Linked DNA regions of Oryzias latipes. The protein of the gene in region 2 interacts with the protein of the main gene of each other region in a pairwise test. Links are inferred from orthologs where the notes say so. Each region holds a gene or a part of one and is shown on either strand. Other genes may lie near its edges.

Evidence for each region.
Region 1: the proteins of fam102a (region 2) and skap1 interact in binary tests that used the Homo sapiens proteins (3 or more experiments, as listed by UniProt). The two-hybrid records come from large-scale screens. The link is inferred for Oryzias latipes from reciprocal best matches to the Homo sapiens genes EEIG1 and SKAP1.

The regions. Positions count from the first base shown.
Region 1 is NC_019877.2:19,113,718-19,118,196, forward strand, and holds the start of skap1 (src kinase-associated phosphoprotein 1), read right to left. Parts: upstream 3,016-4,479; 5' UTR 2,855-3,015; coding exon 2,815-2,854; intron 2,022-2,814; coding exon 1,916-2,021; intron 1,539-1,915; coding exon 1,513-1,538; intron 1,389-1,512; coding exon 1,275-1,388; intron 1-1,274. UniProt on the Homo sapiens protein: Positively regulates T-cell receptor signaling by enhancing the MAP kinase pathway. Required for optimal conjugation between T-cells and antigen-presenting cells by promoting the clustering of integrin ITGAL on the surface of T-cells.
Region 2 is NC_019867.2:32,086,528-32,090,345, forward strand, and holds part of fam102a (protein FAM102A), read right to left. Parts: intron 3,274-3,818; coding exon 3,227-3,273; intron 1,848-3,226; coding exon 1,696-1,847; intron 1,228-1,695; coding exon 1,117-1,227; intron 1-1,116. UniProt on the Homo sapiens protein: Key component of TNFSF11/RANKL- and TNF-induced osteoclastogenesis pathways, thereby mediates bone resorption in pathological bone loss conditions.

The DNA.
Region 1 (4,479 bases), on a different chromosome or scaffold from region 2:
AACAACTGTCATTTACCACAACAAACAGCATGATTTGTTGCTGGCTGGATCATCAGTGTAGCCTACAGGGGAATTCTTGTGGGTGTCATGCTTTTATTTTCTTTTGTTTCCCAAAGGAAATCTCACATTATTCCACAATTTTCCCAAATTAGTCTGTATTGTCTTATTTTATCGTGGTCCATATTTACACCATTTGCTGTGATTGATGTTTTTTTTTCAGTTATTAGGCAGAAAAATAGCTGTTCCTTTTTGTTGGATGCAGCAAAAAATGGGGACATTTTGAAATAACAGATCGGGCTCAAACAATATCCAGCTGTTACTAAATGTCTTCGTTTGAAAATAACTTAAAAGAATGACCTTTTTCAGGGTGAAATCTTTACATATCTTCTGCTTTACCTTACAAAAAAAAAAACAACAGCAGAGCACCTGAGGCAGCGGAGTCTGTAATGCCCACCTGCGGCACGTCAAAGACTATTAACTGGTACATATAGTCAGGAATTCTCCATCTGAACAGGAGGAAGAAAGATAGAAAGAAAGACTGATAAAGGGAGAGAAGGATGAACACACACGGCCCCTCAGGTACAGTGTTGTATTTCAAACCCGGTTGAGAAAGAATAGAAGGGGCTTGAGGTCAATAAATCACTGCATTAGCCTGAAGCTACAAAGCTTCCTCTCTGTGTGGGATTTCGCCTCACACCATCCATGTGCAACATGAAAGCTCTGGACCTGCCACTGGAGGGAGCTGTAGGTCATCATACAAGTCCTTCTGAACCACCAGCCTCCCTTTCTCCAGTGTCAGAGTACCTGCAAAGTAGCCAGGAGGGAGAAGCGTGGGAGGAGGAGCCACTTATGTCACTGGATGGAGAGGAGGGAGGCAGGAATGAGGAACATTTCACAGATGTGGTCTGCTTTTTTCAAATCAAGAGGATGTAGAACATTATATGGCAAAATACTCCATCTGGTCCTCTCACTTTGTGCTGTTTCAATGTCGAGAACAGAGAACTGATGATTTTCCACAAGATAACATCAGTGGTGTCTGTGAATTTTGTGCTGCTTTGAGGTTTTTTTTTCATCAGGATAGAAGATTGAAAATAATATTAAAGACACGTTGTTGTGGCTTAAATGTTGTTAAGGTGTTTCCACACTGTTTTAGCAGAAAAAAAGAGCCTTCAAGTGACAGAAGAAAGAGGTCATCTTCAGTTTAGGCGTCTACATTATATCCCACTGTGACCCACACAATCTTAAAGAGTGAGACAGAACTACTGTTAACTCACAGTCTGGAACATCATCCTGGTAGTCAGAAGCCACTGAAGCGTCGTCGGAAGGGGCAGAGCGACCCAGGCTGGAACTGCGGTTATCATCAGAAACATCTTCCTCCCTGAAGTCCACTGAGAGTTGGAGAACATTTAAAAAAAGGGATGAATCAAAAACATGTGAGGATACTTTAAGGGAAGTGTGTGGCAGAATTAGCCACAGGGGGTACATTGTAACAAATGAGGATTTGTTACTTACATCGCAAGGGGAATTCTTGAGGATTTCTGTACAAAACAACAAGAAAAGATCAATCTCAAGCACTAAACTAACACTTGATTCTTTTTGTCTTATTAAGTTTATGATGGCTTCAAGAAGTCTGTAAATGTGTCATGCAGAGACCACAAAGCCACAAAGGAACAGAACTTCAGTAAGGTTTGCAGTGCAGACAGTGTCGGCTTCCGGAGAACACACTGAGACAAGGGTTTCACTTGAGTTTATGTGCAACTCCTGCTTGGAAATTACATTTTTTTTAATCATAGTTTTTTTCTTTTAAGGACTTATCCAACTAAAATCACTCAGATTAAGGAGACACCAATAAACACAACCTGGAATATTTCAGAGGTAACAAATGACGCACTGTTGCTTCAAAATGAACACCTACCTTGCATGAACGACTCTGAAGTTATTCAAAAGGACCTGGCGTGTTTTTTCAGCACTTTCACTTAGGTTCTCATCTTGAAGGATCTCAAAAATAAACAGTTCGCAATCTGAGGAGTACAACAATTTACTATGAGTTGGGTTCTCTTTTAGAGGGACAAAGTTAAAAAAGTATACCTTTAGGCTATATTATATGTTCAGACGTGGCAACTTTCAACATGGCACTGGCCTACATGTGCATTTGAGGGTTTGAAGTGTTTCATTTGAGCTCCAAGTTGAGGTTTCTTTGTGCATATTTTGATCTTGGGTTCCTATGAAGTTCACTGACTGAGAATGTTGACTCAAAGTAATCTAGAAGCCTTTTTTCATCGTGTTTTCTACTTCTAAAAGTGCTTCTTCTCTGGGTTACTACCACGTTACTTTTAAAGAAATGTGTACAACTAGAGCCATAAGAGAAAAACCAAATATGTCTTTTGCATTTAATTTATATCAACAGCAGGTTTTAAATGGTTCAAAAAGAAAATACTAATCTTTGCCAGAACAATGAGCGAATGGGTTAGTCCACATGGCTTATCTGATTTCCCTCAAATGATAAACAAATAACTTGACACATGCAAATGATCTGTCATAGGTCATGTTCCTTTATCTGGATGATTATGCAAATAAATGCCATGGTGTCACCAGGTTGGAAACATCTTTACACAATAGAGAGTTTAGGAGAAACATAAAACTGCCAACTTTTTATTTCTCTGCTAACAATCATTTTTTTAGAAATGAATTTCATATTCTCCTGATGCTTCTGGGGGAATAGAATCACAGCTATAACGCTAAAAACACAGTAGTTTTATTTTGTAAATCTGATTTGAAAAAATAATCTAATGAGATGCAAGAAAAAGATGTTACCATCCAAGAGTCTCCTGAAGTCTTGCAGGCATGTCCCCATCCCTTGCCTTTGCGTGTCCAACACGATTCCTGCCTCTTCACACTTTGATTTGACCCCAGAAAGTATTTACATTCAGTCTCTGTTCATGACCCAAACAAGAGCTAGATGCTCATCAACGCTCTCAGATCACAGCAACGAAACACTTTTTTTACTCCAACCTGACTTCCGTGCATTTAAACATTTGCACACAGTGGGGAGGAGCAGGAGCATGGGTGACTGTTTCCTGTGCAGTTTCTCTACCATCGCTGATAACATTTTAACTGGCAGAAAGGATGTTGTAAAGCAAACTGGAGTGCTTCCCATTTACAGACACTCAGGAAAGGTGCTTGCGGTAATACATTTTTTGATTAGTTAATCATGATTTCATCATAAACCTCCAGTCAATCCAGCAAGAAATCTGCAGCTACGCAGCTGGTCTTTTTACAGTTTGTTCCTCCTGTAGACAATGTCGACAGGAACAGCTCAAAGCTGTGGGTTCCATGTTGTGCAGAATGTTTTAAGCTGGCATAACAGCACCTGCACCCTCTGTCTGGAACTGTAGCTTCACCACTAGGTCTGTGGTTTGGTAATGTGTTACTGAGATAAAGAAAGGCTTTCCCTGAGAAATATTTGTCTGAGTGGCAGCAAGAATGACTCAACGATGCATTAATGGAGATTCACATAAGTGAAAGGTACCAATGTAAAGTGTGTTATGTCACGGTGTTACAGATGTTAATTTTTGGCATTAATATTAAATGATAAAAGGGATTATTTTTCATCTTTTTGGTGGAGAGAAGGCAAATCCAAAGGTTTCTTAAAATATCTTGTATTTTTTACTGCCATTTTGGGTTAAAAGAAATTAGCTACAGTTTTTAAATATGTCTGAGAGGGTTTTGGAAATGATTCATTTGTTTATTTTCCTTTACTTTCCTGAAATAACTTTTCAATAGTGACAATTTTAGCCTTTTTTTAAAACTCCTAGCTTTACAACCAACCAAGGTTCAAATCTGAATCTTCCTAGATATTTTTCTCTTGGCTAAGTTTGCTTTGTCAAACACTTTCATATTTTTACATCATTTTAAGGGAATCTAAGGTTAGCTTGGTTGGTAAAGCAGTCATTATGTAACATCAGTAACTGGTAAAGGTCTGTCAATCATAGTTACTGACTGAAACTAGTCAGTTCACATTCACTGTCATGAAAATGTTTCAACTTAACAACAACAAAAAACATGCTTACAATCTGATTCCAGTAGCTTTTTATTCTTCCTATTCTTCATTTATAAGTAGGCTATAAACTTCATAACTTTATTTTATGTGTAACAGATATCTATGGTTTTGAATGAGTATAAATTCAAGTTTTACGTTGAAAACTTACACTTTAGTCTTGTTTTTTTTCAGGATAGGGTCTTTATAATGTTACCAGTTGTACAAATGCATATATTCTGTTGTTTTTTCAAAGTTCAAGTCCTCTTCTGCATCCCTCACTTCCGGTGTTCCACAAAGCTCAGTTTTGGGACCTTTATTGTTCATTTTATATCTAATGCCTTTCCAGCACATTTTGAGTTCTTTTAACGATGTTTCTTATCATTTTTATGCTGATGATCTTCAGCTTTATGTGTCCTTTAAACCCCAGAATGTTTTTAAAA
Region 2 (3,818 bases):
CAAACCACGGAGGAACCTCCCCGGATTAACCCCTTAAGAGTCTCATGTGGAAGCGGCATTTTAGGAACTTCAGCATCCCGGGAACAGAACCTTCGAGCCTCCCACCATGTCCTCATCTCAACTGGTTAAACTGGGTTAACAGTCACGTCGATGTGCGCGCACATAAGAGCCCTTTCATTAACCAAAGCCAAACGTTCCCCAACAAACCTGTAGCCCACAGCTGCTGTCTCTGCTGAGACAGACTCAGTCTGAGCTCATCTTACTGCAAACTTTTACTTTTTCATGAAAGACCTCCGCCAACATAACTATCACCTGAAAACCACTGGGAATGTTTTGAAAAAAGAACAAATGAATGTCCAAGCTAGTATCAAAAATGACATCTACACTTTAATAACATTCATTCATTTTCTACCGTTTTGTCCCTTTCGGGGTCACAGGCTGCTGGAGCCTATCCCAGCCACTTATGGGCGAAGGCGGGGTACACTGTCTCTGTCGCAGGGCCACAATCACACATTCAGTCACTCTCACACTCACACCTAGGGTCAATTTAGAGTTTCCAATGAACCTATGAAGCATGTTTTTGGACAGGGGGAGGAAGCCGGAGACCCCGGGAAACCCACGCATGCACGGGGAGAACATGCAAACTCCACACAGAAACACACAGAAAGGCCCCCCCCATTGAGGTTCTAGTTCAGGTCCCCCAGCCGGGACTTGAACCGGGGGCCTTCTTCCTGTGAGCCAAGAGCTCTAACCACTGTCCCACCGGTGCAGCCCTTTTATAACATGGATTCTTATTCAGGTTTTCCCCCCAAAAAATCTGTGATTTTGCTGCAATTTCCCTGAAAAAAACAACATCCTAAGAAAGACGGGAATGAAAAACTCCACCTGGATGAATCGGAGCCTTCAGAGGCTTTTCAGCATCGTGAATATAGAAACGAGAAGTTCTCATTTAATGGCTCAACAGGATCCTCTTAGAGCAAAACATGCTTAAAAGACACCCCGAAGATGCCGATGACCTGCGTCTTTGAAGAACTTTCCCCCAAAGTGTTTGATTTGTTTCAATTGTTGCAGCTTTACTGAGACACATTTGGTAAAGTGCTAAAGTGGAACGCTGACCTGAGATTTTGCTGTGCTGGCTGGCGTAACTGGAGTTCCGAGAGTGACCGGACTGGAACGCTTCTGTGGAAGAGGACTGGTTCTGGTTCCCCTCTGTCTCATCCAGCAAACCTGGAGGAGACCAGAGGAAGTCAAACACAAAGACAGGAACCCCTCGTGTCTGCAGAAGTCACTTTCTCCCCCAGCTGACAAAAACCTGAGGAGCACGAGCCCCATTCAATGAGCAGATTACTCGCAGTAATCTGATTAGTCCCAGCTAACATCTTTTTGTGGCCTTGTCAGCAGGTTCAATGCCGTTTCCTGGTATAATGAGAAAATCCACATGTTGGTGTTTAGCTTCTGTGTAGAAGGAAAGTCACAAGTTAAAGCTGGTGAACACGTTCGACCCGACGTGTTTTGGGTTTCTCTGCCTTATCAAACAGTCTGTTTCCGCAGACACTCCTGGTTTGTGCAGCTCCACCTCTGTGTGGAAACGTCTGACCCAAGAACTCTGGGATTTCCTCCCACTGTGGGGTGTGATTCAAAACACGGCACCACCAAAGGCCACATCTGTTCAAACCCGACTGCTATCTGCCGTACCCGAGCTGATGATGGAAGGCCGAGGCTTTGGGGCCCGCCCCAGAGAAACCCCCACGGCCGGTCCGGGTTCGGCCGTTCCCTCCCCCTTACAGTCCAGCTGCAGGGCGTGCTCCTGTCCGGGGACAGAGATGGACTTTGCTGTGCTTGGAGGCCTGCAGGGGGGAAAGAGAAGGAACCAGAGAGTTGATCAATCTGGAGCAGATGAAATGAGCTCGGGGGGGGGGGGGGGGGGGGGGGGGGGGGGGGGGGGGGGGGGGGGGGGCTCGGGTCAGATGAGGCCCAGTGTTGAAATCAGCGCAGCAGCTGAAGTATTTCAAGTGACTGCAGCAGTAAATGTCTGGGGGGCGTGAATGCAGAAACACGGTCCAGGACTGACAGATTCTTCTGGAAGCAGCAGCAGAGCAGAAGGAGTGAAAGGCACGTCTGCTGTTTCTGAAGAAAACAAGCCAGAACCAACTCTCTCTGGGGGTGGGGGGGGGTCATAATTACAGTGCAGATTATGGTAGCCCTGTGGGTGTGTGAGTGTGTGTGTGCATGCATGCATGTGTTTTATGTACAGAAAATATTCACACCCTTTAACTTGAAAAAAAAAAAGAAATCTGAAATATCCTTCTTCACTTTTGCACAAATATGGGCATGGGGGTTGTTTGGACCCCCCCCTCAAGAATATTAGTAATGCGGATCTAGTGTTTAGCTGTCTGTGTGCAGAAGTCTAGTGAGACACATCTTCCATCATCAATGTATGAATATACTTCCAACCTGTAAGTAGTAGTGCACATCTTATGTTTTGACTTTGTATTATCGACTGCCCCCCCCCATTCTAATCCCTTACCCCCCCCATCTCTAACATCCCACTCCATTTCTTTCTCTCTTCTTTCAAATATAATGATCATAGATAAAGTTTAGCCTCAAATCCAAAAGGGGTTTATACAAATATACTTTGTTTGTCTGAAGATACATAAACCCCCACTGTAACAGTAAAATCTGTCCAGTTTGGAGCTAAACTTGTCTTAATTGAACAAAGAAACATGGACACAAACATATTTTTTTTTAAATTCAAAACATTTAAAAAAAAAATTCAGATGGATTTTAGCTGCTCCCCAGTAAAAATCAGCTCAAATATATGGTTTCTTCTTAAATTGTCCTCAGCGACCTAAAAGACAGATGTTTTATGGAATATCTGTGCTTCTGTAACGACATTTGGACTGAGATCTTTGAAAACCTTCCTGAAAAAAGAATGAAACGGATCTCATAACTTCAGGACTCATCGATTACTCATATGATGGTGTCATTAGGAATTAAATCTGTCAAAAGCTTGTTAAAAGCTGGTTAACTGTCAATATTTACCAATCCAAAAATAAGGAACATTTTCCATCTATGGTTATAGTTAAAAGCAGCTCCAGTTTAAGTTTGAGTTGATAGTTTTTTTCCCTTTAGGAATGTTTTGTCCTTCATATCTTATGACATAAATCCAGAACATTCAAACAATCCATCAAAGACGGCGTTGGACGCCAGCATGTGGGGCACTCACCTCTTGAAACAGGGATCTCCAGACAAAAGAGTCATTCCAATGATCACCTTCAAGACAGAAACAAGTTCATGACACCTACTTCTTTGTTTCATCAGCACAGTCTCTGAAAAACGTCTGAACAGCACAGTCAATGACCAGTAGAGCCAGCACTACAAAATGGCAAACGCACTACATAGTGAGTAGGGCAGGAATTTGGACATAGCCACGATCTTCTGTGGAAGTGAAGCCATCAATGCTGATTGTTTAGGCTGAGGTAATAGCAGAAACTTTGGACAGTTTTTCCAATGAGATTAAAAACATTTGCATATTGTGCAGAAGCTCAGCTGTGACTGAGACGGTTTGATCCTCCACACAATCTCTGCTGTGCTGAGCACATTTGTTCAGTAAAGTTCATAGCGTCTGTATTACTAACCGACTTCCTGGGTTGTGCTGTTATCAGACACGGTGGTGTTTTTCACATACCTGACATGTTTGGACAGACGTCTTCCCTCCGTCTCTCCAAACATGTCAGGTATGTGAAAAACACCACCCTGTCTGATAACAGCAGAACCATACAAGTGAGCACATTTATGGTTGGCTGTTTCTATGAAGG